7 linked regions of the Oryctolagus cuniculus genome follow. The protein of the gene in region 6 purifies or fractionates together with the protein of the main gene of each other region. This does not show direct contact. Links are inferred from orthologs where the notes say so. Each region holds a gene or a part of one and is shown on either strand. Other genes may lie near its edges. The genes, in order: ARID2, CHD4, BCL7C, BCL7A, BCL7B, SMARCE1 and HDAC1.

Region 1 (3,005 bases), on a different chromosome or scaffold from region 6:
AGCTGAGACCCCAGTCCAGGTTTCCCACAATGCTGGCAGGGACCCAGCTCCTTTCACATTAGTTGTCTACTCCTTTGCTTTGCCATGGTAAAAGTGACTGTAGTTCCACTGTGTTTTGCATCTATAATTTCAGTTTTCATGGTTCATATCAATGCTGGCTTTTTTGCCCCTAATCTTTTAATAGTTTTCACATATAAGGCAAACTCGAAATCATTTTGTAGTTAAAATCCATGTATCTGTCTCCTTGCTTATGCCGTTCATGTTCTTATAACATGAGCTCAATCAGACTTGCTCCACCCTGCCAATCCTGTCTGCTTTTCACAACGTGTGTGAGCTCAGTGTCACTCCTTCTTCGCAAGGTCACACACTCACTTCTGTAATCTCTCATCTCTGTGACAAAGCACGTGAGTGTTGCGATTCGGGGACCGGGAACATCTGTGGTTCTGCATTTTTAGAAAGCAGCTGCTGTAATGGAGTAAGTCAAGCTAGATGGAGTCACTTTTCATCCTGTGAAACTCGGCCCGTGGTGTGAACTTTGATTTTATTCCTCTCCAGCTGTTCTCTGTCACATGAATCTTCCGAAAGCATGAATGAAGACAGGGATGCCGTGCAGGCTTCCTTAGATGGGAAGGCAGCACGGGGAAGACGCTGAGGGGCCCTGGCCACTTCCTTTATGCTGCACTGATGTGGCCTGGGTGTGCAGCTAAGCAGTTTCTGTTCTAGCTCCTAAACTCGTAAAACTTTGGATCAGGAATCTTCACTGTTACCTTGAGACTGATGACTTTCTGTATTTCTTTCCAGATTACTAAAGAGACATGAAAACAACCTGTCAGTACTTGCTATAAGTAACATGGAAGCTTCCTCCACCCTTGCCAAATGCCTTTATGAACTGAACTTCACAGTTCAGAGCAAAGAACAAGAACAAGACTCAGAAATGCTGCAGTGAAACAGAATTCCACTTCGAGTGGGGACTGCAAGTCAGATACATTTCACACACTGTTACTGAAGAAAGCACCAAGTCTTAATGGAACAGAGACCATGGAATGAATTATTTTATCTCCTCCCTTGATGTTGAGAGGAAGTTCGTATTCTGATCTTTGAGCGAATCCCTTTTGTTCTCTGTTTGAAAAAAATCTAAAAAGAAAAAAACTGCTGTGGGATTGTCAATCAGCTCATCTGCAGGATGCCTCTCAGACCTGAAGTCCTGATGGGAACCGGTATGATCAGAATTCAGTACCATCCACATTGGAGTAGACATGGGATCTTGTAAAATCTTCACGAGCAGATGAAATAGAAGCATTAAATATTTTTATCTATATCCAAAAAGGAGCACATTTTTATATTTACTAAACAGTTTAAGCTGGTTTGAATAATTAAAAAGTTTCAGCACACTTATACCCCCTGGTCTCAGAGGGGGCCACCAATATCTAGCTATGGATTGTGTGTTTTGTTTAGAAATCAGTAGCTTGGTTTTCTTACTTGAGCCAATATATTTTCACTTATTTATTATCATAAAAATTTACCAGTCTGAATAGATCTTGTAAATATTTGTGAATAGAAGGAACACCTTTCATGCCGCTGCAGCCACTGGAGATACATTCTGTGGTGTCCTAGAAGCATTACCGATAGGTTCTCACGTTTTCTAGACTTCTGTCAATTGTAAGTAATTGTGATATATTCTGCGCAGTGGACGAATGTTCTTCAATCTTTGTAAATACTTCTGCAAGGTACTGATGCTGTAAAGTCAGACAGTTTTGTGGGACTGTGATTTTTTTTTCTTTTTGTATTATACACCTTGTAGAACTCATTTTGCTGGCTGAAAAGAGTATGGAGTAATATATCTCATGTCATTTTTGTAGAAGAAAAACTCTTTGAAGGTATTTTTTGGTTTTTCCCTAACATGTATCCACTGTAAGCGTTTGTCATGTTTAAGCTCAGAGCTTGGACAGAAATTTTTGTATTTGTAAATTGGTTTGAATACATGGGATTTTATACAGGCGCTCTCCTGTGCTGTAAATGCATTCTGTGCAGTACACTTTCTCCACTCCTTTTCTATCTTCCTAGAGGTGGGGTTTATTGTCTAATTCTCCATTCTTAATACTGTACCACATTCCTGCTCAGATACTGCTCACTTCCCCAAATTGTCTTTCTCCCTCCCAGCGTGAAATGTACCCATTTATAACTGCCTATTGCCTGTTCTATTAGCATCCAAAAATGTGGAAGGCCTCCCAACCACGATTTCTGCTGTGTCCTTAGGATGTGCAGTTAAAAAAAATATAGACCTAACAGTTTCTGTTATAGAATGGCTTTATTTACTTTGGTGACTGTTTATAGTTTTTAAATAAAAGACTGAACATTTTCTTGAGTCCTTCATTTCTGAGTATGCTAAGCTATTTTTTAAAAACCTATAAAGAATCCTAAGTTGAGCTGAAGGCGAGGCCCAAACGGTCACCTACCTATTGTTTCTGTTGAGTGTTAGGGAGCAGAGGAGGGAGGTCCTCTACATGACACATTTGCATGAAATACATGGGAGATGGCCCTGAGGTTGATTTCTGTGTCCTGTAATGCAAAGCAAACCCAAATAATAGCCTGAGTGGTGCCGTTAGTGCTGAATATGCGCTTTTTATAAATTATTGGATACTGCACACTTGCCTGAAATCTTATTGATACTGTGTTTCTTCAGAACCACAGTATAAAACAAATCTTCAAACTGAGTATGGGGGCAGATTCTTTGAGTGAAAGGACATGCAAATTTTTAAATTTTGGATTCGATTGATATCGAATACTCTGATTTCTCCCTGAAGGGGGTTCCTGGCACTGCACCCTGCCAGTTCTAAAATGATCGCTTTGAGAAACCTCACGCAACATCAGTCAGGATTATCTCCCGGCACTGTGAGGCTTGCACTGACATCAGGTGGGGGGTGGGGTGGGGGGGCTTCCTAGTCACTTACTATCCAAAAATTCTTGATTTTTCTGAAGTAATTTTGTGTCCTATCAATGTTTGT
Region 2 (3,946 bases), on a different chromosome or scaffold from region 6:
TTTCTGCCAATTCAAAGAACCCCAAGTTCAATGGTTTAACGGAGACCAGAGGAGAAAGCAAACTTTATTTTTCAATAAATATTTTAAATATTTATTTATTTGAGAGGCAAAGGGAGAGACAGAGGGAGAGAGAAGAGATTAGCCATCTGCTGGTTCACTCACCAGTGCCCACAACCAGACCAGGCTGAAACCAGGAGCCAAGATCTCCATATGGGTCTCCCACACCAGTGGTCAGGACACAAGTACTTGGATCATCTTCTGCTGCCTCCCAGCACATTAAAAGGAGCTGAATCAGAAACAGTGCAGCCAGGACTCAGCTGGCACTCTGCTGTGGGATGGCGGTATTGCAAGGGGCCGCTTATCCTGCTGCACCACAACGGCAGCCCCTCATTCTTCACTGTAATACTCTATCATTTATGGAGGGAAAAGATCACCACCTGTGCATTGTTTCTTGGTTTTTACTAAAAAAGACCAAGAAATGGAAAAGAAGTTTAAAAAAAAAAAAAAGAGAGAGATTCTACTCTTTCAAACAAATAAGGGGAGCGGTAGTGTCTGAGGCACTGGGTAGGGAAGCTTGGGCACCCAGGCACAGTATCACAGCACCTGGTTTGAGTGCTGGCTCCTCCGCTTCACATGCAGCTTCCTGCTAATCCAGTCCCTGGGAGGCAGCAGGTGACAGCTCAACACATCAAGATCTCCCCCAACGGGGGAGATGTGGATTGAGTGATGGGCTCCTGGCTTCAGACAGGTCCAACCCTGACTGTTGCAGACATTTGGGAATGATGAGGGCTCTGTCTGTCTGTCTCTGTCTCTCTGCCTTTCAGATAAACAAACACTGGAGAACACTGCGGCAGAGCAGGTTAACGCATCACCTATGATGCCAGCATCCCATATAGGAGTGCTGGTTTCAATCTCTCTTGCTCTGCTTTCAATCCAGGTTGCCTGTAATGTGCCTAAAAAGGCAGCGGAAGATGGCAGCAGTGCTTGGACCCTGCCACCCATGTGAGAGACCAAGATGAGATTCCTGGCATCTGGCTTTTACTTGGCCCAGATCTGGCTGTTGCAGCCATTTGGGGAATAAATTAGCTAAGGAAGATCTCTGTCTCCCTCTGTCATGCTGGGGACCAGCAGGTTCATCTGCTGCGCGTGACACCAGCATCCTTTATCAGAGCACCACAGCACCAGTTTAAGTCCTGGCTGCTCTGCTTCCAATCCAGCTTCCTGCTAATGAACCTGGAAAAGCAGCAGCAGATGGCCCAAGTATCTGAGCCCCTGCCACCCACGCGGGAGACCCAAGACGGAGTTCCTGGCTCCGGACCCAGCAAATGCAACCATTTGGGGAATGAACCAGTGGACAGAAGCTCTGTCTCTCCCTCTCTTTCAAATAAACAACTCTTTAAAAACTAGCAAATCAAAATAAAATAAAAAACCCACAATAAGATATTACCTAGGTATATATCTTACCTCTTCCTTTTGTTCCAAAGAGACTTGAGGTAGTATTTGAAACACTTTTTTTAAAAAAACAGAGTAATAGAATGCTTAAGAAAAAATGAAATTCTGGGGTTGGCACTGTGGCACAGTAGGTTAAGCCTCTGCCTGAAGTGTCAGCATCCCATATGGGCACCGGTTCTAGTCCTGGCTGCTCCTCTTCTGATCCAGCTCTCTACTTTGCCCTGGGAAAGCAGAGATGGCCCAACTGCTTGGGCCCCTGTACCCAAGTGGGAGACACAGAAGAACCTCCTGGCTCTAGCTCCTGATGGGCCCAACTCCAGCCATTGCTGTCATTTGGGGAGTGAACCAGTGAACGCAAATCGGTCTCTAACTCTGCCTCTCAAATAAATAAAATCTTAAAAAAAAAAAAAAAAATGAGATTCTGGAGAAGAGCCAATGTAACTGTTCTGAGTGTGAAATCTGGCTGTCAATTTCCTGAGAGCCAAGCCACAGATACTGCTGCAGCACACCTGTCCCCACCCCAAGGCACAAATGATGCATTTCCAGGCCCAACCCAGGACGTGGCTGCGCAGCCCCTCGTTCCTGAGTGGTGCCTGACACCAGCGCCCTCAGAAGCGCTGGCAGCACCTCCTGCCACCAACCACAGCACGCGGTGGGCTCTCCCAGCTGGCTCTCCCAGATGCTGAGAACCTCGCTTTTGCACACGGGCTGACACCATGCTCCACCTCACAGACGTTCTTGAGCTACTTCACTTCACTGATACAAAACTTCCTTTAACATAAAGTCTCTGTTTTCAAAGGAAAAGGTATACCAATTCACACGTGAATTTGCATGTAGGTATTTTCCTCATCTCGAGTACCGTCCTGGACTCAGTCCAACTTCCAGACCAGTCACCAAGCCCGGCACTGCCCTGGACTCGTACTCACCCCCATCTCTTCTTCCCGCACCACATACTGGGCCACTTTGAATGAGCTCAGATATTCATTCATGCCCTGCAACTCTGTGTCTTCCGTCTCATCCTGGTTGCGGTCCAGCAGTCGCTCAATGGCCTTATCATCATAGTGGATAACACTGCTATCTTCTCCTTCTTTGTTGTCTCCTCCTGTAAGAATCAGGGCCGTAACCCCCAAGTCAGCTTCAGCAGCTGCCGTGGAAAAAGCAGGTCCCATGGGAGACCCTCGGCATCAGACACTCCCATCCCTTAGAGGCTGAAATTCAAGTTCGTCTGACCAGCTCACCTCCATCTGTGGCTTCGTCCTTAAACAGTTCCTCAGTGCCAAATTTGAGGATATCATCAAGCTCCTGCTTGGACATGGATCCAGTCTTGGAGCCCAGCCCAGGCCGCACCACAAGATGCGTCAGCATCATCTTCTTCTTTGCCACCTGCGTGATGCGCTCCTCCACTGACGCTCGGGTCACAAATCGGTAGATCATCACCTTCTTATTTTGTCCAATGCGGTGCGCGCGGCTGAAAGCCTGGAGATGAGCAGGAAACAAAGCCAGAGACCTATTTTCCTGCTGCCACATTTGCCTTCATGTGAAACTTCCTTTCACACTCCTGCCCCCAGACACTGCCCTCTATTATCATGTTGCCCAAAATAGGGCCATAGCTAACCCAAGTCTCTAGCTCACAGTAGCGTAAATGACATAAAAAGAATCTGGTATTTCTCACTTAAACAACTAATTCCAGCTGTGGAGTCCTCACAAAGAATCCAGCATTTCCAGCAAGTTAATGCATGCCACTGCTGTGGCCTCTGCTCACCTGGATATCATTATGAGGGTTCCAGTCAGAGTCATAGATGATAACTGTGTCTGCAGTGGCCAGGTTGATTCCAAGGCCCCCGGCTCGAGTGGAAAGCAAGAAGCAGAACTGCTGAGCACCCGGTGCTAAAAAAAAGAACAACAACAACAACAAAAGGATGAGAAACGTGTCCAAATTTCAATTAATGAAAGTAGAAGGAAGTCAGAAACACAAAACTTCATTAGTCAAATACCACAGGAACAATGGTTGCAAGCAAGGTCCACCAGTGGACACTGAAATCCATGTGCAAGTTCAAGAAACTGAGTATAAGCATAGTCTCTACCATCTCAAGACACTTATCACTTGCAACGGAAAGAAGAGGAACTTGTTAAACAGCACCTTAACCAACTGTCATCCAATAATGAGACGTAAGAACATGGTGTCCATCCCCCAAACACAGCATCACTTTCGCAGCCCTCTTGCCTTAATCTAATCAAGAGAAGCCATCAGACAAAACCAAATTAGAGATATTCTACAAAACAAGTGACCAGCATTCACAAGCATTACATCAGGTTGTTGCATAAAGGTTAAGGTGCTGCTCTGGGCTGCCCACATCCCTTCTCAGACTGCCTGGGTTCAAGTCTTGGCTCTGCTCCAGCTCCCAGCGTCCTGCTAATGCACACCCTGGAAGTAACCGATGACAGCTCAAGCGGCTGCATCTCTGCCACCCATGTGGAAAACCTGGACCGAGTT
Region 3 (4,501 bases), on a different chromosome or scaffold from region 6:
GCTTCCCCACGTATATCAGCAGGGAGCTGGATCGGGAAGTGGAGGAGCTGGGACTCTGCACAGGCACCCATATGTGATGCCGGCACTGCAGGCGGAGGCTTAACCCCGCTGCACCACAGTGCCGACCCCAACAGTAAATTTTTATTGAGGTCTTTTACTACGTGCTGACCACTGTTCTAAGTGCATATTAAGTTACTGCCAAGTTTTAGTTGAGGAAGTAGATATAAGTGGCTTGTCCGAGTTCACGTAACGGGGTGTGGCTGACCCGGGATGTTTACCATGGCGGGCCAGCTCCTGAAATGCTGTCAAGGCTGTCTTCCCAATCCTGTAACCCCTCTGGACAGGGTCAGAGACAGGACAGCCACACACAGCTGCACCGATTTAGACACGATCAGATCTGCTGATAAAGGAGCCTTCGAATCAACCAATCATTTTCTGCAAGGAAACTTCTGAGTCAACTGCAAAACACAGATGGAGAAACGCACACATCCCCAGCGCCCAGCTTGATGAATTTTCAGAGGAACTTTGCCCAGGGAGCCCGGGCCACATTAGGAAACAGACATGATGGGTTCCCAGAAGCCCCTCTGGGACCCCTCCCAGTCCCGAAAGAGACACCCTCCCGGCTTCCTAATCCTGACATTTTCCTATCTGCTTTCGAACTTCATAGAAATAGAACCAGGTGGTGTATCTGGCTTAAACTCAAGATCTGCTGAGGGAGACTTGTCCCGTCGCTGGGTGTAGTGGGACAGCGGGCATTCTTGCCCGCTGGGTCTCTGTCTTGGGTATCAATAGCTGCAACCCACTTCCCAGTCTCCTCTTGGTAAGCCGTTTACGGTTCGGGGCTGTTAAGAACGCGGCTGTGAACATCCCAGCTCACGGCTCTTGGTGCTCCTGTCTAAGCATTTCTGCTGGGTGCTGACGTGCTGGATTCCTGGGCTGGTCTTTGTTCAGCTTCATGGGAAAGTCTCTACCAATTCCCACTCCCCCAGAAACAGAAGGGAGGCCGCGCGGCTCCGCTGGCCCGCCCACACTCGGTATGGCCTGTCGTTCTCGCTATAGCCATCCTGGGGGGTGGAGACTCACTCATGTGTGCAGCTGTGGCGCGTAATTGGCACTGGGCTGCTAGATCGTTGAATGAATGAATGGGTGAACGAATTAAGTTGGGCAGCGTAGAATCAGCCAGCCCGGCGAGGGAGGAGGGGGTGTCCGGGGACACACACACGGTGTCTCAGGTTCGCACACCTGCACCCAGACCCTCTCGTGCACCCGAGCGCCCACGTGGTCTGGACGCGCCGCCTCGGCGGAGCCGCGCGCGTCCAAGTCGCCGAGCCAGCGGGCCCCCAACTCTCGCTCGCTCTCGGCGGCGGACAGGGGGCGCTGCGCGTCCGGGCGCCCCCGAAGGGGCGGGCCCGGGGCGGGGCGGGGCTGGCCCGGCTTCCAGGCCTGGGCTCCGGCACCCGCGCCGCCCGGCCGCTCCGGGGACGGGCCGGGGCGGGGCGCGGCGGCAGGAAGCGGGGCGGGGACTCGCGGAGGCGTTGGGGAGCGAGGGAGGGCGCGGCCAACTCCCGGAGGGGACGGCGGGCGGCGAGAGCGGCGCCCCGGCCTGGCGCCGAGCCTGAGCCCGCCGGACGGGAGGCAGCCCCGCCGCGGGCTCGGCCCCGGCCCCAGCGCCGCCAGCATGGCCGGCCGGACCGTACGGGCTGAGACCCGGAGCCGGGCCAAGGATGACATCAAGAAGGTGATGGCGACCATCGAGAAAGTCCGGCGATGGTGAGCGCTGCCCCGCGGCCGGGGCCGGGACCCTGGCGGGGACCACCGCCCCCTCGCGCGCCTCCCCTCCCCTCGCCAGCTGCGCCCCCCAGGTGTTAGGTGCGCCCCCGGCCACCAGCTGTGCGCGGGATCCCCAGGGCTCCGTCTCCCTTCCCCGGGCTACCCCCGGAGGTCTACAAAGCGTGGTCCCCAGCCGTGCCTTCGCCGGGCGGGAGCCCTCGTCCGTGCCCCGCCCCCTGAAGCTCTGACACTCCTGCAAGTATGGCCCGGGCTCCGAGCTGCGTCCCCAGGGATGGCCCCCTCCCTCCGGAGGGGTTCTGCCCTAGCCATGGCCCCGAGGCGTGCCCGGGGCGCCCCCTCCCCATCTTTGCCCTGGGCTCGCTCTCTCCAACAGTGCCTCATTCGCAAAACCGCCCCAACCCTCGTGCACCTCCCCCACCTTGCAGATGTGGTACCTGGGGCAGAGGCGGAGGCGGCGGGTCAGGCGGGTGCGCGCGGGGGGGGGGGGCGCCTCTCCCCTCAGGCCTCTCTGACCCAGCACCCCACCCTCCCACAGGGAGAAGCGTTGGGTGACTGTGGGCGACACTTCCCTTCGCATCTTCAAGTGGGTGCCGGTGGTGGACCCCCAGGAGGAGGTGAGCAAGCCCACCCCCCACCCCCCAAGACCCTGCATCTGTGCAGTCTCAGCCCAGCTCCTCCCCACCCTGGCCTCCACCTCCAGTGCCTACCGCAGCCCAGATGTTCAGGATTACTCGGCTGCCCCTCCCCCTCCCCCTTTCCTGCTCCAGACCCCCCCCCTGCAAGGCTAACCCAGCACGCACAGCCTCTGTCACCTCTGGCTGGGCCTTGGGTTTCTCTGTGCCTCAGTTTCCCCGTTTGTCCCCGTGGGGCTCTGCCAGGGCTGCCGGGAAACGCTGGCTCTGATCCTCATCCCTGTCACCCCCAGGAGCGGCGGCGGGCAGGTGGCGGGGCAGAGCGATCCCGTGGCCGAGAGCGGCGAGGCAGGGGTGCCAGTCCCCGAGGGGGCGGCCCGCTCATCCTGCTAGATCTCAATGGTATGTGTGGGGGCCCAGGCATTGCCGGGGGCGGGGAGGGGTGGCTGTGGGACCTGGAGGAGGGGCCTGGGGGCCTCAGGCCGACCCTCTGGGCTCTTGTTTCTGCAGATGAGAACAGCAACCAGAGCTTCCACTCGGAAGGCTCCCTGCACAAGGGTACCGAGCCCAGCCCCGGGGGCACCCCACAGCCCAGCCGCCCTGTGTCACCCGCCGGAGCCCCGGAAGGGGTCCCTGAGGAGGCTCAGCCCCCACGGCTGGGCCAAGAGAGAGGTAGGATCAGGTGCCACCCAGAGCCCCCTTCTCTGCGCCCAGCAGCTCACCCCGCTACCTGCCCCTCTCCCATGAGCCCCGTGGAAACAGTGCCCGCCCCTGCCGTCTCCTCTGGCATTTCCCTATCAATTTCAGTTGCTGCTCACATACTGTCTTCCTGCCCCGTCTCGTGTCGGCTTCCTGGAGGTCGGGCCCTCCCCGATCTTGTTCACGGCATCCTCCAAGTCTAGTGGGACGCATAATAGGTGCTCAATCAATGTTTGTCGAGTGACTAAAAGACGAAGCTACTCACGGGCGCTATTGATTGAGCTCTTACTGCGTGCCAGGTGCCTTCCAAACACTCTGTTCTGTTTTATCTCATTGACTCGCCGCCTCGGAGGGGTTAGCCTGCCCTGCTTCCTGTTTGTAGCTGAGGAGGCAGATCAGCAAGGTTAAGTCGGTCGCCCGAGCTCACACAGCGTCTTCAGGTTGAGGCTCCTCAGCTCCTCTTTCTTCCAGTTCACCCCCGCCCAGCGTGGCCTCCCCAGGCCACAGCCTGGCTCCAGCCGCCCCGCAGCTGTAGCACAGCTCTGCCTGAAGCGGGGGGCCGGGTGGGGCTCATTTTCCTGCTGTGGCTCCTTCTGCCCCCTGAGCTGGACGCTGAGGGCCCCCTGTGCGCCGTGCCCTGCCCGCCACCAAAGCCACGGCTTGGGCCTAGGGGCTGAGCCTGGACACCTGTGCTAATAGAGAAGCAGTAACTGGCATTTCTGGCGCACGTGCTGGGTGCCAAACACTTTGAGCTGTACTACCTCGCCTCCTCCTCCCGAGAGTCATGCACCAACTGCGACCCCTGGCCCCATGTTATGGATGGCTAAGGAGAGGCCCCAAGAGACGGAAGGAGCCGGCCCAAGGCCAGGATCTGAAGGCGGCCGCTGAACTCCAGGACCTGTGCTCACTACCCTGCGTTCCCTTTGTCTGAAGTGTGTTTTTCTTGGTAAAGCTACACCGCTTTGCAGATCCTGCATAAGTGTTCCTGCTTCAGTCTGGGGCTGGGACTTCAGCCAGGTCCTGGGCCCCTTTCTCTCTGTCCAGCTGCCTGTGTGTGTGTGTGCGCGCGCGCACGTGCGTGCATTTCTCCCAGTCTGACCTCTGGGCACAGAGTGGCTGCTCAGGGAATGACTGTTCACTTGACATTCCAGATCCCGGGGGCATAACTGCAGGCAGCACGGACGAACCCCCCATGCTGACCAAGGAGGAGCCGGTTCCAGAGCTGCTGGAGGCTGAGGTGAGAGAGGCCGCAAGGCTGCACTCCCGGGTCTCGAGGGAACGTGGCACCGGCGCGGGTGCGGTCCGGGCGGGAGGTGTGGACCCAGCACCCAGCCAGGGCCTTAGCGGCCGGGTTCTTGGGGACAGAAAAGAAAAGGGTG
Region 4 (3,946 bases), on a different chromosome or scaffold from region 6:
GCTGGTGGGCGTGCCGTGGCTGTGGGGACCCTGGGCTGGATGTACGCTGAAGGCTGAGGCAAAGCCGTTAGGATACTGGTTCCCACCCGGCTACAATCCTTTCAGAGACGGAGCAATGTCTAGAAAAATGTTGGGGTCACACCCAGGGGTAAGGGGTCTTCCAGCGACCAGGGACACTGCCCAACAGCCTGCGACGCACAGCACGGGCCCCATGCAGACTCGACCCGATGGGCAGAGCCAGGGCTGAGCGCCCCTGCCCCAGGGTGAAGCTGTTCTCCCCGAGGACTCCCTGGAGGATGAGCCACAGGCCCTGACTCTGCAGCTCCACCCTGACCTGGGCAAAGACACAGAGACGTGGGTGAGGCTCCCCGAGGGACCCTGTGTGTGGGAAACGCCCCACGACCATCCGTGGGGCCGCCTGAATGAGCTAGTGAATTGGGAGAGGCTGCTAAGGGGGCTCCATGGCGACCACTTCCACAAGAGCTGGTTTATTCTCATTTACACGATTCTGGGTACTTGGGCTCTCTCCTCTGAGGCAGGGGGAGAGGTCTCGGGGGGCCTGGGGTGGGGGACAAGACCCCCCCCAACACACACACACCTGCCCAGGAGCCAACCCAGCAGTACAAACCCTCCTCACAGGTTTGGGAAGGGGCGGCCACCTTGACAGCCAGAGACCCCTGCCGCGGGGCCACAACCCGTTCACCCCTAGGCAGGGCCCGGGGTGCGGGCCACACTTTCCCCAGGCCAGCCAGAGGGGCGATCGCTGGCCCTGCAGACCAGGGAGGCTTTCAGTCCCTGGTGTCTGCAGCCTCCTCTCCCCACACTCCTTGCACCTGTCACACTTCTGCCCGGGACGCCATCCCCTTCTTAACACCTGCTCTGCCCCCAAGCCCAGGCAGACAGCATTTCCTCCACTTGGTCTGCATGGAGAGCCCCGGGCTCCTTTCTTTTTTCTCTGCATCTGTCATAGCAGTGACTGGGAATTCAAGTCCCCTCAGGGATCAGGCAACGTCATAAGTGGGTCAAGTGTGCTTCACAAAGCAAGTCTAAAGAAACACCGCGGGGCCGGCGCTGCGGCGGGGCAGGAGTCACGGGGCCGCACCCCACATGGGCGCCAGCTCCAGTGCGGGCTGCTCCACTTCCGATCCAGCTCCCTGCTAGGCTTGGGAAAGCGGCGGAAGACGGTCCAGGAGCTTGGCCCCTGCACCCTGTGGGAGACCAGGGCGGAGTTCCTGGCTACACTTCGGCCGGGCCCAGCGCTGGCCGCTGCGGCCATTTGGGGAGTGAACCAGCGGATGCAAGACCTCTCTCTCTTTCAAAATAAATAAATAAATAAATAAATCTTAAAAGTACAAAACAAAACTGCTACTCCGCAAGGCCGGCCACAGCGCGCGCTGTTTCCACGCTCCATGAGAACACAGGCGCCATGTCCCCTCTGTCACCTTCCGGGGCGGCCCCCTTCCCCATACGCCCCCTGATTGGCCGCGCGCCAACTGGAGGCGGTGCCCCGAGCCCCGCCACGCCCCTACCTTCAGTCCCCGGATGCTCCTTCCCGTCGGCTTGCGCCTCGTCCGCCTTGGCTTCGGGGCCGTCCCCCGGCACGGCGGAGCTGGGCTCTGGGGCCGGGCTCGAGTTGCTGCTGTTCTCCTGCTTGATGGGGGAGGCGTCCGCAATGGAGCTCTGGTTGCTGTTGTCGTCTGTGTGAGGGGAACAAAGCCACAGGATGAGACCCTGCGGCGGCTCCCGGTGGCCGGAGGCCGGGAGCCCCGCAGGACAGCTGACCCCACGGGGACCGCCCCATGGGTCCTCCTTAGGAGAGGCTGCGTCGACGGCAGCCGCCTGCCTTCGCTGGCCTAACACGTTCAAACGCTTCCGGGGATGCTGGGCCAAGACCCCGGGCACCTGGCGCGGGAACGTGGTTCCACGGAGCCCCAGGGCTGATGTCCGGGGTGGGCAGCCGCGTGGCCACCTCTTCCACGCCGCAGGAGGCAGGGGAGCAGCAGGGTGGGCTGCTGCCCGAGAAGGAAACCAGAGACGGAGAGGACCCTGCTCTGACCGTGCCAGCCGTGACACGTGTTGGAACAACTGGGGAATTTGAATAGGGTCTGGATTTCAGCAGCTATTTAGGAATTATTGTCAGTTCCAGGTGATGCTGGCGCAGTGGGTGGCCATTTTTTAGTTTCCTTGTGAAGATTTATTTATTTATTTATTTGAAAGGTAGAGTTAGAGAGGGAGATCTTGCTTCCACTAGTACAGCCCCCAAATGGCCGCAACTGCCAGGGCTGGGCCAGGCCAAAGCCTGGAGCCTGAAACTCCACCTGGGTCTCCCATATGACTGCAGAGGCCCAAGGACTTGCGCCAACTTCTGCTGCTTTCCCAGGCACATTCGCAGGGAGCTGGATTGGAATTAGAGCAGCCAGATCCCATATGGGATGCCAGCATCTCAGGTGGCAGCTTAACCGGCTACGCCACAGTGGTGACCCCAGAATGGTGTTTTTTAGCAATGCAGGTTTTAGTGTTTAGGGACAGACTTCAATATCATAATACAGGGAAATTTCTTTAAAACGCCTCAGGCACAGGTTGCAAACAACCGTCAGAACCCCCTGAACTTCACACTCAAGAGCTATGGATTCTTCTAGGTAAATTCCACTCCTGTGAAAAACCTTAGCACATTAAAAGGAAAAAAGGAGGCAAACAGAGCGCCCTGTTTCATGAAAACCCAGGTGGTGGGCATCTGGGGCTCTGTCCCACTCTCTCTCTCTGCCACTCTTTACACAAGTTTTCATAATAAATGGAGGAGAGGGAGGAAAGCTAACGTGGTAGCAGCATTGGTGCTGGCAGGGCTGGGGTGCAGGGGACCCCACCCCATGTCCTGCAGTACACAGGGTCACTTCAGACTGCAGAGCCAAGTCAAGATTTCAAAAATAACACCGCAATCTGACGCTGACTTTCTGGGCCATGCTGCACCTGGGAACAAAGCAATTTTTGTAAAAGTGAGCGAGAAAGCCAGACAGCCCAGCAGGCACCAGGCGCGAGCATCTACAGTAACTCCATCGGACCTTCCCAAAAAACCACCGGGAATGCTCACACATTCACTTTACAGACGGGTAGACGGAGGCCGGGCTGCTCGGCTCCCCACCTGATGAAGCACAGGCAGCCACGCGTCCTTCCTGATGAATCTGGTCTTATTTTAAGCAGTCTAGGGGAGTGCTGGTTACACAAAAGCATCCTCTTGTGAATTCAGGGGCTTAAAAAAAAATGCAGGCTCCTGATCTTCCCTAAGAAAATCTGAACTTCTCTCCTACTCAAGACAGGCGTGTGCGCGTGTAAGCAGCTCAGCCGCTGGGCTCCAGCCTGGGGCGGTGTTAATTAGTGACAGCAAGCCCTAATGTGTAACGAGTTGGCTGCCTGAGTGCAGCCTGGTAACCAGGTAACAGGTGACCCCACTGGAGCCGCAGACCAACAAGCGGAAGGCGGAGCCTGCTCCCCGCTCCTCACCTCCGGCTGTGCCCGTCCTCTACCTGTGCCGACCCACACCCCCTTCGTGCGCAGATGCTCTGTGCCGACCCACACCCGCTTCGTGCGCAGACGCTCTGTGGGACTCGGTTCTGGCTGCACCTGCTCTAAACAGGAAAGGTAAACATGGCCGCTGTGCCCGGGCACTTGGTACGTTCGGCGTTTTCAGTTTTTCTGCAGCGCTGAGCCCTGGCTACTGGTCAGAAAACCTGGATTCCATCCTCCCAGAGCCTCAAATACGAGCACTGGCACCAGAAGTCCCATCGTCCTCACTGGACAGGTCACTCCCCTTTCTAAGCCTGAGTGACTTTGTTGTGGGAGTCAAAGGAGACAATGCAAGAGGAGCATCCCCACGGTGCCTGGCACCCTGAGGCAGCGCTGCACACACCCGCTGTCGGCGTGCCCCGGCTGTTGAGGAACCGGCCTATTT
Region 5 (4,726 bases), on a different chromosome or scaffold from region 6:
CTGGAACCTTCCCTGAAGCCCGGGGAAAAGCCCTGCAACCATCAACCAACTGCCGAGCTCATCTCCCAGAAACCGTTTATGGATCAAACCGTGACCGGAGGCCGTCGGCGGGTTTCAGCACGGCGGCTGAGACGCCTGCAGCCCCATCAGCGCACCTCGGCCAGTCCCTGGCTCTGGCTGGCACCTATGCAGACCCTGGCTGTGGTAACGGGCACTGCCACCCATGTGGGGGACCAGACTGCGTTCAGCTCCCGGTTTCTGCCCGGCCCAGGCCTGGCCACTGTGGGCATTTGGGTTGTGAACCAGTGGGCAGGAGTCCATTCTCTAACAAGTCTTAACACTAAAAAAACAAAATAGGCAGGGCCAGCACTGTGGCATAATGGGTAAAGCTGCTGCCTGCAGTGCCGGCATCCCATATGGGCACCAGTTCAAGTCCTGGCTGCTCCACTTCCGATCCAGCTCTCTGCTATGGCCTGGGAAAGCAGTAGAAGACAGCCCAAGTGCTTGGGCCCCTGCACCTGTGTGGGAGACCTGAAGGAAGCTCCTGGCTCCGGATCATCACAGCACCAGCCATTGCATGCATCTGGGCCACCTGGGGAGTGAATAAGCAGATGGAAGACCTCTCTCTCTCTCTCTCTCTCTGCCTCTCTGTAACTCAGCCTTTCAAATAAATAAAATAAATCTTAAAAAAAAAAAAAAAAAAAGAAAGAAAGAACAGAAAGCTCAGAAAGAATCGTTTTAAAAAAATAAAATAAGGCACTCAAAACAGCAATTCTAAGCTCTCTGTAGGCACAGGCCCCTTCTTGCATGCTCCTTATTAAATGATGTCACATGTGTGCCTCTGATAATGTTTTTGTCTCATCAGCTTATTTACCAAATTAGAATCTCAGTAAAGATAACAAACTATGTAGCACATCTTCAAAAATCCCTATTATTCCATTACCACTAAACATATAGACAAGCAGAAATAAACTTAGGGCAAATTTTTTTAATTAAAGCAAAAATTTAAAAAGAAGGTTCTGGTCATTTTAGTGTTAATCTCTTAAGTCACTCTGGTCATGGACTGGCTGCCCTGTTCTGCTTCCATATAAAGATTCCTCCAAGGGAGAAAGGACCACGGGGGACACACACAGACAGACAGACACAGACACACACACACACACACACTCTCTCTGCTGGGTGGGAGCGGCAGGCGTGGACCCGGCCTTGGGATCCCTTGCTGTTCTGCCTTACCAAGACTGCCTAAGGAGACAGCTAATCTGAAGAAATGTTCAGATTTCAACCTTCAAGTTCAAAGCTCTGGAGAAATCCTCATCACTCACAAAACAAGCAACGGCTCAAGACCAGGCCAAGGGCTTGCTCAAGACCACGAGGGCCTGACAACATGAGCTAGACCCAGCGAAAGGAAATCAGGCCCGTCCTAAACTCAACACAGAGCAACACGCTCGACCTGCTCTGAAGGGCTGCCAGCCAGTGTGTGTGCAGGTGGGAGCTGGCTTTCCAAGAAGTTGCCTCTCGGGGCTGGCGCTGTGGCGTAGAGGGTAAAGCCCCAGCCTGCAGCACTGGCATCCCGTATGGGCGCCGGTTCGAGTCCCGGCTGCTCCAATTCTGAGCCAGCTCTCTGCTGTGGTCTGGGAAAGCAGTGGAAGATGGCCCAAGTGCTTGGACCCCGGAACCCGCGTGGGAGACCTGGAAGAAGCTCCTGGCTTCAGATCGGCGCAGCTCCGGCTGTTGCGGCCAATTGGGGAGTGAACCAGGGATGGAAGACCTCTCTCTCTCTCTAACTCTGCCCATCAAATAATGTAATTAATTTTAAAAAAAGAAAGAAGTTACTTCTCTAAGACTGCTTAGTACTTGCTGTCAGCCCGAGCAAGAACCAAATGCAGGGAGCTGATGTCTCGCGGACCTGAACCGCTTTGCAAAGTTTCAAGGCCAAATCTGAAGTTTATACTAAATAAACACATAAAAGTCACTACTGTCACAGCTGCTATGAAGCAAATAATGCCATCAGGAAATGCAGAGAGGTGACGATGGACTGGAAACAACGAGCTAAAAAAGGCTCAGGGGGCACCGGTTCCCGACCGGTCCGCTCCGTTTCCTCATCTGCTGACCACGTATTCAGTATCGAAGACCCTCGTCTAGGAAGGCAGGGAACGAGACGCACGGCCCCTTCCCTCCCAGGGCCCGCATTCCAGCCGCAAGCGGACCTGGACAACTCAGTCAGCGCTAGCCGTCCCAGCGGACACTTCTGGCTTTCGGCGCGGTGACCGGAAGCCAACGGAGAGCGAGCGAGAAGGCCCTTCCGGCCTGCGGGGAGGGGAACGCATAGCCAGGCCCACACGGGAGCCCCCGGGCTCCTACCTACTGCTGGCTAGCTAGAGGAACAGGCTCCGGGAGCTTCCGGAGCTTCACCTGCGACTTCAGGGGGCGTTAGGGGAAAGAGGCAGGTTTCCTTTCCGATGACCACCACGCCTGCTCCCGCGGCAGGTGGAATTACCGGGAGAACTCTCAGATTTCGACTGTGTTATGTGGAGCGCTCAGCCGGGCCGACCGAAGCCACTCGGGGGATGGCTGGCTCCTAATCAGGGGGAGGACAGCACGGGGAGACAGCAGCAGCGGCACCAGCCCGGGACTCTGAGCCAGGACCCGCAGGCCCAGCGCCGGCCCGAAGTCCGCAGCCATCCCCGGGCCGCGCGCGACCGCGGCAGTGGGCGGGGCAGCCAGCCGGGCGGCCCGCTGATTGGCCCCGGTCGGCGCTGCCCTCTGACCTCACGCCGACGCCGGCGCGCCCTCCGCCCGCCCTCTCCCTCCCCCTCCCCCTCCGGAGCCGGCCGGCCGGCTCCCACCCAGCCTGCCGGACTGGCGCTCCTCGGGGCCTGGGCCCGCAACACACGCGCGCGCGCGCGCGCGGGCACCCTCGGCTCCCGCCCTCACCATTTCCGCACTTTCTCGATGGCCGCCATCACCTTCTTGATGTCGTCCTTGGCCCGGCTGCGGGTCTCGGCCCTGACCGACCGGCCCGACATGGCGGCGGCGGGAGCGGCGGGGGGCCGGGGCACTGCTCCCAAGACGCGCGGAGAATCGCGCGCGCCTCACACGCGCCGCCGCCACCGCCACCGCCACCGCCGCCGAAGCCGCAGCGTCACCGCGGCCGTCGCCCCCTCCGTGCGCGCGTGCGCGAGGAGGCGCGCGCACCCGCCCGCCCCTTGGGACGCGAGCCCTCAGCGCGCCTGCGCGCCCCGCCCCGGGCGGCCCTCCCGACCCCCGGGCATGGGTGCCCCGGGCCTGGGCGCGCCGAGCAGGCTGCACGTGCTGCGGGCAGGGCAAGGTGCGAGGCGCTGCCGGTACAGTGGGCGGGGTGTCCGCTTCTGCCCAGGGGCATTGAAGGTCCGCGCCCTTGCACTGCGTCCAGAGAAGCTGGGAGCCTGGCCCCGGTGGGACCTGAGTGTCCGCCCCCCCCCCCCCAGGACTCCCACTGGGCTCCAACGGCGGGGAGTTTGACACCTGTCTGGGGTGTGCCTGCTGTTCTTGGTGCTCACCCGAGGAACTGGCTGCTCGCTCTTCCAGAATCCGGTTCAAACTCCAGCCTCCCGGGGTACCCTAGGGTCCCCGTGTTCGTTCTTAGCACGATTCCACTGCCACCATTTAATGCAGCGGTCACTGGTTTCAGCGATGATGCCTTGGGAGGTTTTGGTTTTGTTTTTTCAAGATTTGAAAGACACAGAAAAGGGAGAGAGAGATCCTCCATTCACTGGTTCTCTTTCCCCCTAACGCCTGCAACTCCCAGGGCTGGGCCAGGTTGACTCCCAGAGCCGGGAACTCAATCCAGGTCTCCCGCGGTTGTGGCAGAGGCCCAAATTCTGAGCCATCCTCCCAGCTTGTGCATCCCAGGAGTGCCCCAGGCAGTCGGACCGGGGTGTGGGCATCTCAGGCAGCTTAGCCCGCTGCCCCGGAACACCACCCACGATGTGTTTTTGCTTTCAAAGAGCTTGGAGTTCAGTAGAACATGCAGACCAGGAAACAAGTATTTAAGATGCCATTTGATGAACACTAGGTTAAAAGAGACAACAAAGTGACCTAGAAAAAGTGCCCTTGAAGCTGATCTCTGCAAACAGGGCAGTCGCTAATGCCTCAAGGCCTCACTGCCTACAGACTCTCTAAACACTGCCCCCACCCACCTGCCAGCAGTCACGCATTCGTGCCCACGGGATGGAGGGAGGGTCCTGTGGCCGCAGCTCCTGGGGACGGCAGGAAGCAGTTCTCTAGGGAGATTTCTCTCTAGGGAGAGAAAGGCCCAGCGAACTTTGGACACAACAGAGCCTGGGACTGTGCCCATCTGACCAGTACCAAGACTTGACAAGCACACGCCCTTCTGTATTGGGGGGGGGGGGCACCAGGAACAGCTTCTGCTTGACTTTGGTGGTGGTGGGGGGGGAGAATGAGTTGAGAAATAATAGGATCACAAAGAGGACACATCTGTTTCTGAAACCCAGCTCATGCACAATAACCCAAGCACCGCTGGTGCACCTGCTGTTTGCCCTACAGCAGTGGACACATTGAGTGAGGCAGACACACTGCTTGCCCTTGGGGTGAAGATGAGGAAGGCAGCAGGGAAACCCAAGACAGAACAAGTGCCACGAGCGATGCTGGCTCTCGACAATTCCACAATTTGACTCACAGGGCCCCCAATTCAGGCCCCGAGTCCAACAGCCAACACCTGGAGGTG
Region 6 (4,723 bases):
TGGAGAAAACAAAATCACCTAAGAACCTAATTAGCAGTGCAAAGTAGCCTGGCCTGCAATTTAGGTAGTAGGGTGTGAAGGAAGGGCTACCAGCTATTACAGAAGTGCTTCTGCAGAATATGGTCATGTTAACAGTGTTTTTTAAAACACAGACAACCCCCTCCCCCCTAAAAAACTCCACAAGGAAGCCATTTCAGGGAGGCCTAACAGTTGCTGTGGAATCTGTTTCATGGGTTGGGCAACTATTTTACATGCTGACCAAGCTGGGTCAGAGCTTGCTGGGTGAAGAAGCCGGTTCACCGCTATCAGGCAGATACTTTGAAACATTCTCAATTCCCAAGCCAATCAAATCTAATTACAGCGTGGAGTCAAATTTCATAGCAAAATCTGACCCACAGATAATGAAATCCTCACTTGAACAGCTTGAAAATAAAGATTTACAATGAGTGTAGTTATAGAAGTAGGAGCTTTGTTTGATTTAATATGGAAATTTTATATATAGAGACAAGAAAGGAGAGAAAAATGTAACCAGCTGAAGGTTAGGTTTAAAAAAAAAAAAGCCAGAATGAGCACTCACTCAATATCAACTTAAAGACTCTGAGAAAGAAGTGTTAAACTTGTTAACTATTTCCCATTAAGAAAAAAAAAAAATAAAACAAGTAAATTCAGCATAGGAGGTAGGAATTTCATAGTATGTTTCTTTAAATGTTGGGGCTGGTTCAAGATCAGAGGCAAAGAGTTATTTTATTTAGAAGGAAGTCTGTTTTTTAGCTGAATTTTCATCCTGTTACTGTGATGATTGAGTGACTGTCACTGGAAGACATCTGGGTTTTTGTATCAAGGCCAGACTCGGCTATTACATTAACAAGAAAATTAAAACTTACTGTTGCAGGAGCTGGGGTGGGAGGTGGGGCATAAGATGGTCTTTCTGTTTGAAAGAAAATAAATAACTTCTTGTAAACAACTGAGATATAATACTATGCAACAAAACTACCAATGGTCCTGTTTTGAAGAAAAAAATGAGAGTATTTTGGAATTCCCACTTGCTAGGGCATTAGTCTCTTATTAACATAGATTGATAAATATAAAAATTGAAACTTACTTGACATTTTGGAAGATTAAGTTCTCAGTTCCTTAAGAATGAATCTGAGACACTAAAATAAAAAAAAGGAAAAAAAGGAAAAAAAAAGAGAATCAAAACTCAGCAAGCATGAGAATGTTTCCCTAAAGAGGGCAGTTTGATTGGTACTTTTGAGTAAAACTACATTATCTCTCAGTACTCAAGCCTTGCGCGTATTTTACTAGTCCTTGTAGGTCATCTGGGTCATCAGAATTAAATGACTCGAGTAAGTTCCTGGGATATTTAAGTATCAGAAATATACTCTCAGGTTCTGTCCTAAGCTGCCCCACCTCTCGCACGGTGAACACTTGGTAATTGGGAAGGCAGTGGTCACACACTGTGCTGTGCCACCTGTCCACACCAACAAGGCCTGCTGGATGCTGCCAGCGCCCGGTCAGTTCCACCTGGCTTCTGGTCTAGCAACCTCTGTTCGAACAGGGCAGCTCTGTATTCCCGAAGGCAGCGGAAAAGGTAACAGGTATACTAAATGCGTTTCACATTCTTTTAAAGCGGCAGATAGCTTCGGACTCGCTGGAAATACATTGAATTCACTGTTCCCTCATCTGCACTCCCATGCAGAGCTAGGATACTGCTTACTGTAGCTTTTCAAAACATCTGCCAATATGGCTGGACTGGGTGCTGCTCTCGTCACCGTATCCCAGTCTCTAGTGCGATTCCTGATAGACGTTGTCCTAGGGTTCCCTGCTCACAGTAGGGCCAGAGCTTGTCCTTCACATCAACAGTCCCGAGGGGTTTAAAAAAAAAATCCGTGTTTTGGAAAGAAGACAAACTCCTATCCTGGAGCGCCTTCATCCAGCCTCACGGGAGATAAGCAGGAGCTACCTGCAGCACCAGGGTGCAGGTCGGAGCCCAGGGTGCTTTCCCCCTCTGCCTTTAAAGCCCGGCGGGAACCTCTGACTTTGTTGCAAATTTCCTTGCTGCTCAGCCGGCGAGCTGTCAGCATCCAGGAGGCCTTGCGGTGTGGAGCCCTGACGGGACAGCCAGCAGCTCCCTGCACTGGGCGCTTCACGCTAAGATACACTCACAGACACTGCTCGCCCCCGGCGGAACGCAGGCTCTCAGAGCGGGCCAGGGCCCCTGTGCACCCCCTGACGCCCTCCCTGCGGCCTGGCCCTACACAGACGCTCGGCAAGCATTTGTGGAATAAGGCAGGACAGGCTTAGGAGAGCAACCCTGCTGTCCCATTTTACAGATCAGAAAGGGGAGTCTTGCAGACTTCAAAGTAACTCTTCGAAACCACGCCGCTAGGAAGCGGCAGGAGCTGGGGTCCGCACCCAGGCCAAGTCCGCTCACGCCAAGCCGGCCCCGCGGGTCCTCGGGGCCAGGGCCCCGGGCCGGGGGTCCCTTCCGGGGCTGAGGGCCCTGGGCTCGCCTCGCCCCTCAGGGCTGCCTCGGAGGTCGCTTCCTCCACGCCTGCCGCGGGGGATGCACTTTACCAGTAATTCCCCCAAACCGGGGTATGCGTGGGCGCCCTGACCGGGTTCGGGGTGGCCGGAAGGGGCCATCCTGCCCCTGAGGAGGGCCCCCCGTGAGGACTCCCTCCCCACGCGCGCTCCGCTAGGCCTCAAGGAGGCCTCACCGGCTCTCGGCTCCGGCCCCGCAGCCAAGCCTGACCCCCAGCAACCCCCGGGGACCCGGGGTCCCGCCGAACGGAGGCACCGCGACCTGCCACCCTCCAGACCAGGTCGGACCCACTAGGAAACACTCACCCGCGGGCAGAAAAAGCGCCCGCAGCTCCGGCTTCGCTTCCCTTTGTCCCGCGCACGCCCCGCCCCTCACGTCCGGAGCTTCCGCGCTCGCACTTTCCACACTTTTTCTCAATTTCTTCTCAGGCCCCACCGACTGTCTTCGGAAAAAAAATAAACCCGCTCCCGAGGACGCGGCGACGCTTAGTACAGCCAAGGATTTTTTTCCAGGCCCCGTACGTTCCACAAAGCTCCTTGGATTTGGATGCTTTCCCAGTCGGGCGCCGATTCGTCACGGCGAGGAAGGCGGAGGTGGCCCGATCGCGATAGGCCCGGTTCCCGCGGCGGTGAGGGGTCCGAGCGGCGGCGGCGGCGGGAGGTGCCGAGCCCTGCCCGAGGGCGTGGTGGCGAGGCCCGCGGCCTCGGCTTCCGCGCGTGAGGCCGGGAGACGCAGGAGCCGCTGCAGGGGGAGGCCGCGCGCGCCTCGGGCTCCGGCCGCGGCCGCCCCCGCGGGACCCCCGGCGCCGGGTCTCCCGCTTCCCCTCGCGTCGCTGGGCGGCAGGACGAGTGTTCCCCGTGCTTCTCAGAGCGGACGACGCGGGCGCGGAGGACTCGGCCTGGAGGGAAGCAGCACGGGCTTTGGCTGGCCACAGGTTTCCGAGCGAGGGCCCTGGTGTGGCCTTGCAGCGCCGAGGGTGCCTGCTGCTGGGCTCTGCCCCAGATCCGCCTTCGCCGGCTGCGTAGACTCCTGTGCCGTTTGGGATGCAGCTCAGCCGTGCCCTCGGGAGGCCCTCTTGCAGTGCCCCCCCCCCCCCCCCCAACAATCCTTCCCTTGTACCCCCAGGCCTTTCCATCTGGCCCTTAGGAAGGTGTGTCAGCTTTGCAGTGCCGGTCACCGCTGAGGGTCTGGAGCCCAGCTCGATGCCCGTGACATGGGCACCGCGGCAGCCCTCTGGCCTGCTCCAGCCAGGGCCCTTACCCCCCAAGTCGTTGGGGCTCTTTGCTCACCGTCTGGAGTGAGTGGCCCCTTCCTGGGCTGTGAACACCCTTGGGTACTGTCGTAGGCCCCTGGTGGGAGAATGAACAAATGGACACCCCCCGAATGGTACTCACTTGGGCACGGGGTGGGCCTTATTCTTAGCCGCCCTTAGCGCCCCTCTGGGACGAGCCAGCAGGAACAGGGGCCTATGGGGGCGTCCCTGCAGAGCTGGGGACAGCTGATACCGGGGCTTCCCCTGCGAATAGGAGAGAGTGCAATTCAGGAGCCTAATGGGGGAGCGCCTGAAGGGAGAGGGGCTTGAGGGGCGGCTGTGGAATTGCTTTTCCAATATGAAAGCATTAAAGGATGGGAGGAAGACACGGGGGACGGCCTGGGCGGGGGTCCCAGGACCTGTTCTGGTTTGACCTCTGCCTTTGGGGTTCTGGGCGGGGCCTCTGAATTAAAGCTGCAGTGTTGGCTGCCGGGGACCCAGGGACCATGCACCCTGCCAAGGGGTGGGGGTGGGATGGCACACAGATGGAGGGGCTCTGAGTGGAGCAGATGCTGGCACGCTTTCTCACCTGGGTGCTACTCCACGGTCACCTTCCTAGGTCTCTCCGACCCACTTGAAGTTCCCACCCCTCCTCTGCCCCCACTCTCTGTGCCTTTTATTCTCAATAGCACCTGGCACCCCCTAACATACCGTTCATTTTCTGTACTTATTTTGTTTGCTGTCTGTTTCTTCCCACAGCGTGAATACTTCTTCAGTGTGGGGACTTCTGACATCTGTGGCCGTGTGTGGTACATTTGGGTGCTAATATTTATGGAATAAAGAAGCGAATGACTCACTTTGCTACCTTAGTTCTTCTCTCTTCCTAAAATTGCTGAACAAGTAGGAAACGGATAACGTAGGCAAAA
Region 7 (3,946 bases), on a different chromosome or scaffold from region 6:
ATGACCCAAGTCCTTGGGCCCCTGCACCCATGTTGGAGATCCTGAAGAAGAAGCTCCTGGCTCCTGGCTTCAGATAGGCCCAGCTCTGGCCATTGTTGCAGCCATCTGGGGAGTGAACCAGCGGATGGAAGACCTCTTTCTCTGTCTCTGCCTCTTTGTAACTCTGACTTTCAAATAAATAAGTAAATCATAAAAAAAAAAGGGGGGGGGGAGAAAGACAACAGGTCTAGCATTAGGGAAGAGAGATGATACTAGGTTTTTCCTTTAAAAGTTTATGATAGGGGCTGGCACCATGGCACAGTGGGTAAAGCTGCTGTCTGTGGAGCCGTCATCCCATATGGGCGCCAGTTCAATCCACTTTTTTTTTTTTTTTTTTTTTGACAGGCAGTTAGACAGTGAGAGAGAGACAAAGAGAAAGGTCTTCCTTCTGTTGGTTACTCCCCAAATGGCCGTTATGGCCGGCGTGCTGCGCCGATCCAAAGCCAGGAGCCAGGTGCTTCTTCCTGGTCTCCCATGTGGGTGCAGGGCCCAAGCACTTGGGCCATCCTCCCCTGCACTCCTGGGCCACAGCAGAGAGCTGGACTGGAAGAGGAGCAACCGAGGACAGAACCCAGGGTACTGGTGCCGCAGGTGGAGGATTAGCCTAGTGAGCCGCAGCGCCGGCCTCAATCCACTTCTGATCCAGCTCCCAGCTAATGCGCTTGGGAAAGCAGGATGGGTAGCCCAAGTGTTTGGGCCCCTGCACCCATGTGGGAGACCAGGAAGAAGCTCTTGGCTCCTGGCTTCAGACTGGCTTAGCTACGCTGTTGCAGCCATTCGGAGGTAAACCAATGGATAGAAGATCTCTCTCTCTCTCTGTCTCTCCCTCTCTCTGTCCATAACTCTGCCTTTCTGTCTTTCAAATAAATGAATAAATCTTAAAAAAAAAAAAAAGTTTATAAGAACACCACAGGGAAATTCACCTCCCATAAGGAAGTTACTACTGGTTGCTTCCCAAAGAGCCATCCTGTTCCTTCTTCCTTGGTAACAAAATGTACCCAGCCCTAGGAATAGAATCATGATTAGCCTAGGCCAGCTCTGGTAATTCTATCCGTCTACACTGGTGAGTGGTCTCAGGAATGAGATGATGGGAGGTAAGGGGGAGTGTATTGGGAAGCTCCTGGGGAGTTTTTCTCCTTGATAGAAAGAGCTAGGCGGCTCCCCAGAGTTCCTGAAAACCTCTGCTGCCTTGTATGCTTTCTTCCCCACCTGTTCTTCACACCTGATAAAGCACTGTGGTCCCAAGGTCTGCTCGCCCTGTCTACCTTCCCCAGTTGGCTCCACCAGCTCCAGAGACACGACAAAGCCATCTGGGACAGAAGACTCATCTCCTTTCAGTCTCTGGAATGGTGAGAAGGATGCTGCTGTTGCTAGGTTACTCAAACTGTCAGTACAGCCTTTAACAGCAGGCACCACGCCATAAAGCAACATGGGCCCCCAGCCCCTCTTTATTTTCTCACTTGGACTCTAGCAACAGGCTCCTAAGTGGCCTACCTGCTTGTAAAATACATGCCTATCTATTCTTATATCTTTTATTTAAAACCTTTCACTTTTCCCCCACCACCTCCAGAACAGATTAAATTGGGAACCACCGAACCACATTTGGTCCGCACGTGTATTGATGTGTTTTATATACAAACATTTAAAACAAAAACCCTGTGCCAACATTTTAAACCGAGGAGGTTTTGCATACTAATTTGGATTTCCAGCTTCTTAAAATCTGGAAGACCAGGTAGAATCAAGTGGAGCTGAGACTGGTGGTTAGACAGAAGCCTACACTCTCTCGTAACCACAGACTTGGCAACTTGTCCAACACGATCCCCAGTCACTCCTTTTTTAGCCACTGGATTTCCGACCCTGGCCTACAAGAGTGGTTTAGCACAGCACATCCAACGCTGGCTGACCTCTCCAGCTCTACGCCCTGCCTCACGTCTGTGAATTCACATTGTATCCCTACACATAAAAACGGATTTTTCGGCCGGCGCCGCGGCTCACTAGGCTAATCCTCCGCCTAGCGGCGCCGGCACACCGGGTTCTAGTCCCGGTTGGGGCGCCGGATTCTGTCCCGGTTGCCCCTCTTCCAGGCCAGCCCTCTGCTGTGGCCCGGGAGTGCAGTGGAGGATGGCCCAGGTGCTTGGGCCCTGCACCCCATGGGAGACCAGGAAAAGCACCTGGCTCCTGGCTCCTGCCATCGGATCAGCACGGTGCGCCGGCCACATCGCGCTGGCCGCGGCGGCCATTGGAGGGTGAACCAACGGCAAAGGAAGACCTTTCTCTCTGTCTCTCTCTCTCACTGTCCACTCTGCCTGTCAAAAAAAACAAAACAAAAAAAAAAAAAAAAAAAACGGATTTTTCCTCAAATACCTCAGCCTTTTTGCATATATAATATGCATATGCATATACTGCATATATTCTTCCCCCTACCAGTCCCCTCCTGAACTCAAGGATAATTTTTTGTAAGATTTATTTATTTATTTCAAAGTCAGAGCTCTTCCATCTGCTGGTTCACCCCCCAGATGGCTGCAATGGCCAGGGCTGGGCCAGGCTGAAGCCAGGAGCCAGGAGCTTCATCTGGGTCTCCTACTTGATGGCAGGGACTCAAGCACTTGGGCCATGTTTAGCTGCTTTTCTCAGGACATTAGCAGGGAGCTGGGTCAGAAGTGGAGCAGGGGCCGGCACCGTGGCATAGCAGGTAAAGCTGCCGCCTGCAGTGCCAGCATCCATATGGGATGCTGGTTCAAGTCCCGGCTGCTCCATTTTCAATCCATCTGTCTGCTATGGCCTGGAAAGCAGTAGAAGATAGACCCAAGTGCTTGGGCCCTTGAAACCACATGGGAGACCCAGAAGAAGCTCCAGGCTTCTGGCTTCAGATTGGCCCAGCTCCAGCCATTGCAGCCATTTTGGGAGTGATCCAAAAGACAGAAGACCTCTCTCTGTCTCTCTCTGTCTCTGTCTCTCTCTGTCTCTGTAACTCTACCTTTCAAATAAATAAGTAAATCTTAAAAATAAATAAACAAACAAGTAGAGCAGCCAAGACATGAACCAGCACCCATATGGGATGCCAGCTTGGCAGGGAGTGGCTTTACCCACTACACAACACCAGCCCCTCCAGGCTAAATTCTATTCAATCTTTAAAATTTCTCATATATCACTTCCTAGAATCAATTCAAGCCCCCTTTCCTCCTTCCTTCCTCATTATCTCTGCATCTTGCACATTTTCTAAACTGTTGCTCTTACACACTGCAGTATGATTTATTTATATGGGGGTCTCCTGCAGCTGGGAATTGAATACAAGTGCTCCGAAGTGGAACACAAGCATCTTAACTGATAGGCCAATGCCCACATTTGCTTAATGAGTGCATGGTTTAGAAAATCAGATAGTAAATGGCATTTGGGGGACCAGAGCTGATGAGGTAACAGAGGGGAACACTCGCAGTAAGTAACTCACATAGATTTCCATTTTCCGGTAGAGACCATAGTTGAGCAGCAAGTTGTGAGTCATGCGGATCCGGTGAGGCTTCATTGGATGGCCTTGTCCATAGTAGTAATTCCCAACATCACCTGAAGAACAGGGAGAGTTCTGATGACCGTTAGACACATACTCCCAGGAGAACCCAGGAATTTTTACAGCAATCTGTCTTTCTGGGTTATTTCTTGAGCCCAAGATTATCTCTCTACCTAAAAGAAATGTAACTCTAAAAGAAAAACACAACAAACTGGGGTCTCTGATGAGGTCAGCACTTAAAGATCAGGCTAGCCCATTTTCTTCTAGAGCCCACAGGCTCAAGATAGCATGAAGGGTTCATTCCTAGCTACTGGAGAATAGCAGCCAGTCAGGTGATTCACCTCAATATACCTCCAAGGAATTCCCTCCCACAACAGAAAAACAACCATTACTACTCAGAAT

What was found.
Region 1: the proteins of SMARCE1 (region 6) and ARID2 purify together in Homo sapiens (affinity purification with mass spectrometry; 7 studies listed by BioGRID and IntAct, counting the BioPlex papers as one, with this or other methods). This does not show direct contact. The link is inferred for Oryctolagus cuniculus from reciprocal best matches to the Homo sapiens genes SMARCE1 and ARID2.
Region 2: the proteins of SMARCE1 (region 6) and CHD4 purify together in Homo sapiens (affinity purification with western blotting; 3 studies listed by BioGRID, with this or other methods). This does not show direct contact. The link is inferred for Oryctolagus cuniculus from reciprocal best matches to the Homo sapiens genes SMARCE1 and CHD4.
Region 3: the proteins of SMARCE1 (region 6) and BCL7C purify together in Homo sapiens (affinity purification with mass spectrometry; 5 studies listed by BioGRID and IntAct, counting the BioPlex papers as one, with this or other methods). This does not show direct contact. The link is inferred for Oryctolagus cuniculus from reciprocal best matches to the Homo sapiens genes SMARCE1 and BCL7C.
Region 4: the proteins of SMARCE1 (region 6) and BCL7A purify together in Homo sapiens (affinity purification with mass spectrometry; 4 studies listed by BioGRID and IntAct, counting the BioPlex papers as one, with this or other methods). This does not show direct contact. The link is inferred for Oryctolagus cuniculus from reciprocal best matches to the Homo sapiens genes SMARCE1 and BCL7A.
Region 5: the proteins of SMARCE1 (region 6) and BCL7B purify together in Homo sapiens (affinity purification with mass spectrometry; 3 studies listed by BioGRID and IntAct, counting the BioPlex papers as one, with this or other methods). This does not show direct contact. The link is inferred for Oryctolagus cuniculus from reciprocal best matches to the Homo sapiens genes SMARCE1 and BCL7B.
Region 7: the proteins of SMARCE1 (region 6) and HDAC1 purify together in Homo sapiens (co-immunoprecipitation; 3 studies listed by BioGRID and IntAct, with this or other methods). This does not show direct contact. The link is inferred for Oryctolagus cuniculus from reciprocal best matches to the Homo sapiens genes SMARCE1 and HDAC1.

Annotation. Positions count from the first base shown.
Region 1 is NC_091440.1:136,657,980-136,660,984, forward strand, and holds the end of ARID2 (AT-rich interactive domain-containing protein 2), read left to right. Parts: intron 1-801; coding exon 802-946; 3' UTR 947-2,359; downstream 2,360-3,005. UniProt on the Homo sapiens protein: Involved in transcriptional activation and repression of select genes by chromatin remodeling (alteration of DNA-nucleosome topology). Required for the stability of the SWI/SNF chromatin remodeling complex SWI/SNF-B (PBAF).
Region 2 is NC_091440.1:102,918,484-102,922,429, reverse strand, and holds part of CHD4 (chromodomain-helicase-DNA-binding protein 4), read right to left. Parts: intron 3,340-3,946; coding exon 3,215-3,339; intron 2,929-3,214; coding exon 2,691-2,928; intron 2,555-2,690; coding exon 2,379-2,554; intron 1-2,378. UniProt on the Homo sapiens protein: ATP-dependent chromatin-remodeling factor that binds and distorts nucleosomal DNA. Acts as a component of the histone deacetylase NuRD complex which participates in the remodeling of chromatin.
Region 3 is NC_091450.1:6,250,368-6,254,868, forward strand, and holds the start of BCL7C (B-cell CLL/lymphoma 7 protein family member C), read left to right. Parts: upstream 1-1,466; 5' UTR 1,467-1,678; coding exon 1,679-1,770; intron 1,771-2,326; coding exon 2,327-2,405; intron 2,406-2,716; coding exon 2,717-2,825; intron 2,826-2,933; coding exon 2,934-3,095; exon of another isoform or gene 3,096-3,321; intron 3,322-3,411; exon of another isoform or gene 3,412-4,273; coding exon 4,274-4,359; exon of another isoform or gene 4,360-4,501. UniProt on the Homo sapiens protein: May play an anti-apoptotic role.
Region 4 is NC_091452.1:7,050,950-7,054,895, forward strand, and holds part of BCL7A (B-cell CLL/lymphoma 7 protein family member A), read right to left. Parts: intron 1,698-3,946; coding exon 1,530-1,697; intron 1-1,529.
Region 5 is NC_091450.1:50,473,885-50,478,610, reverse strand, and holds the start of BCL7B (B-cell CLL/lymphoma 7 protein family member B), read right to left. Parts: upstream 3,176-4,726; 5' UTR 3,027-3,175; coding exon 2,935-3,026; intron 1-2,934. UniProt on the Homo sapiens protein: Positive regulator of apoptosis. Plays a role in the Wnt signaling pathway, negatively regulating the expression of Wnt signaling components CTNNB1 and HMGA1.
Region 6 is NC_091448.1:21,885,558-21,890,280, reverse strand, and holds the start of SMARCE1 (SWI/SNF-related matrix-associated actin-dependent regulator of chromatin subfamily E member 1), read right to left. Parts: upstream 2,990-4,723; 5' UTR 2,851-2,989; intron 1,155-2,850; 5' UTR 1,110-1,154; coding exon 1,103-1,109; intron 929-1,102; coding exon 885-928; intron 1-884. UniProt on the Homo sapiens protein: Involved in transcriptional activation and repression of select genes by chromatin remodeling (alteration of DNA-nucleosome topology).
Region 7 is NC_091438.1:140,171,562-140,175,507, forward strand, and holds part of HDAC1 (histone deacetylase 1), read right to left. Parts: intron 3,601-3,946; coding exon 3,488-3,600; intron 1-3,487. UniProt on the Homo sapiens protein: Histone deacetylase that catalyzes the deacetylation of lysine residues on the N-terminal part of the core histones (H2A, H2B, H3 and H4).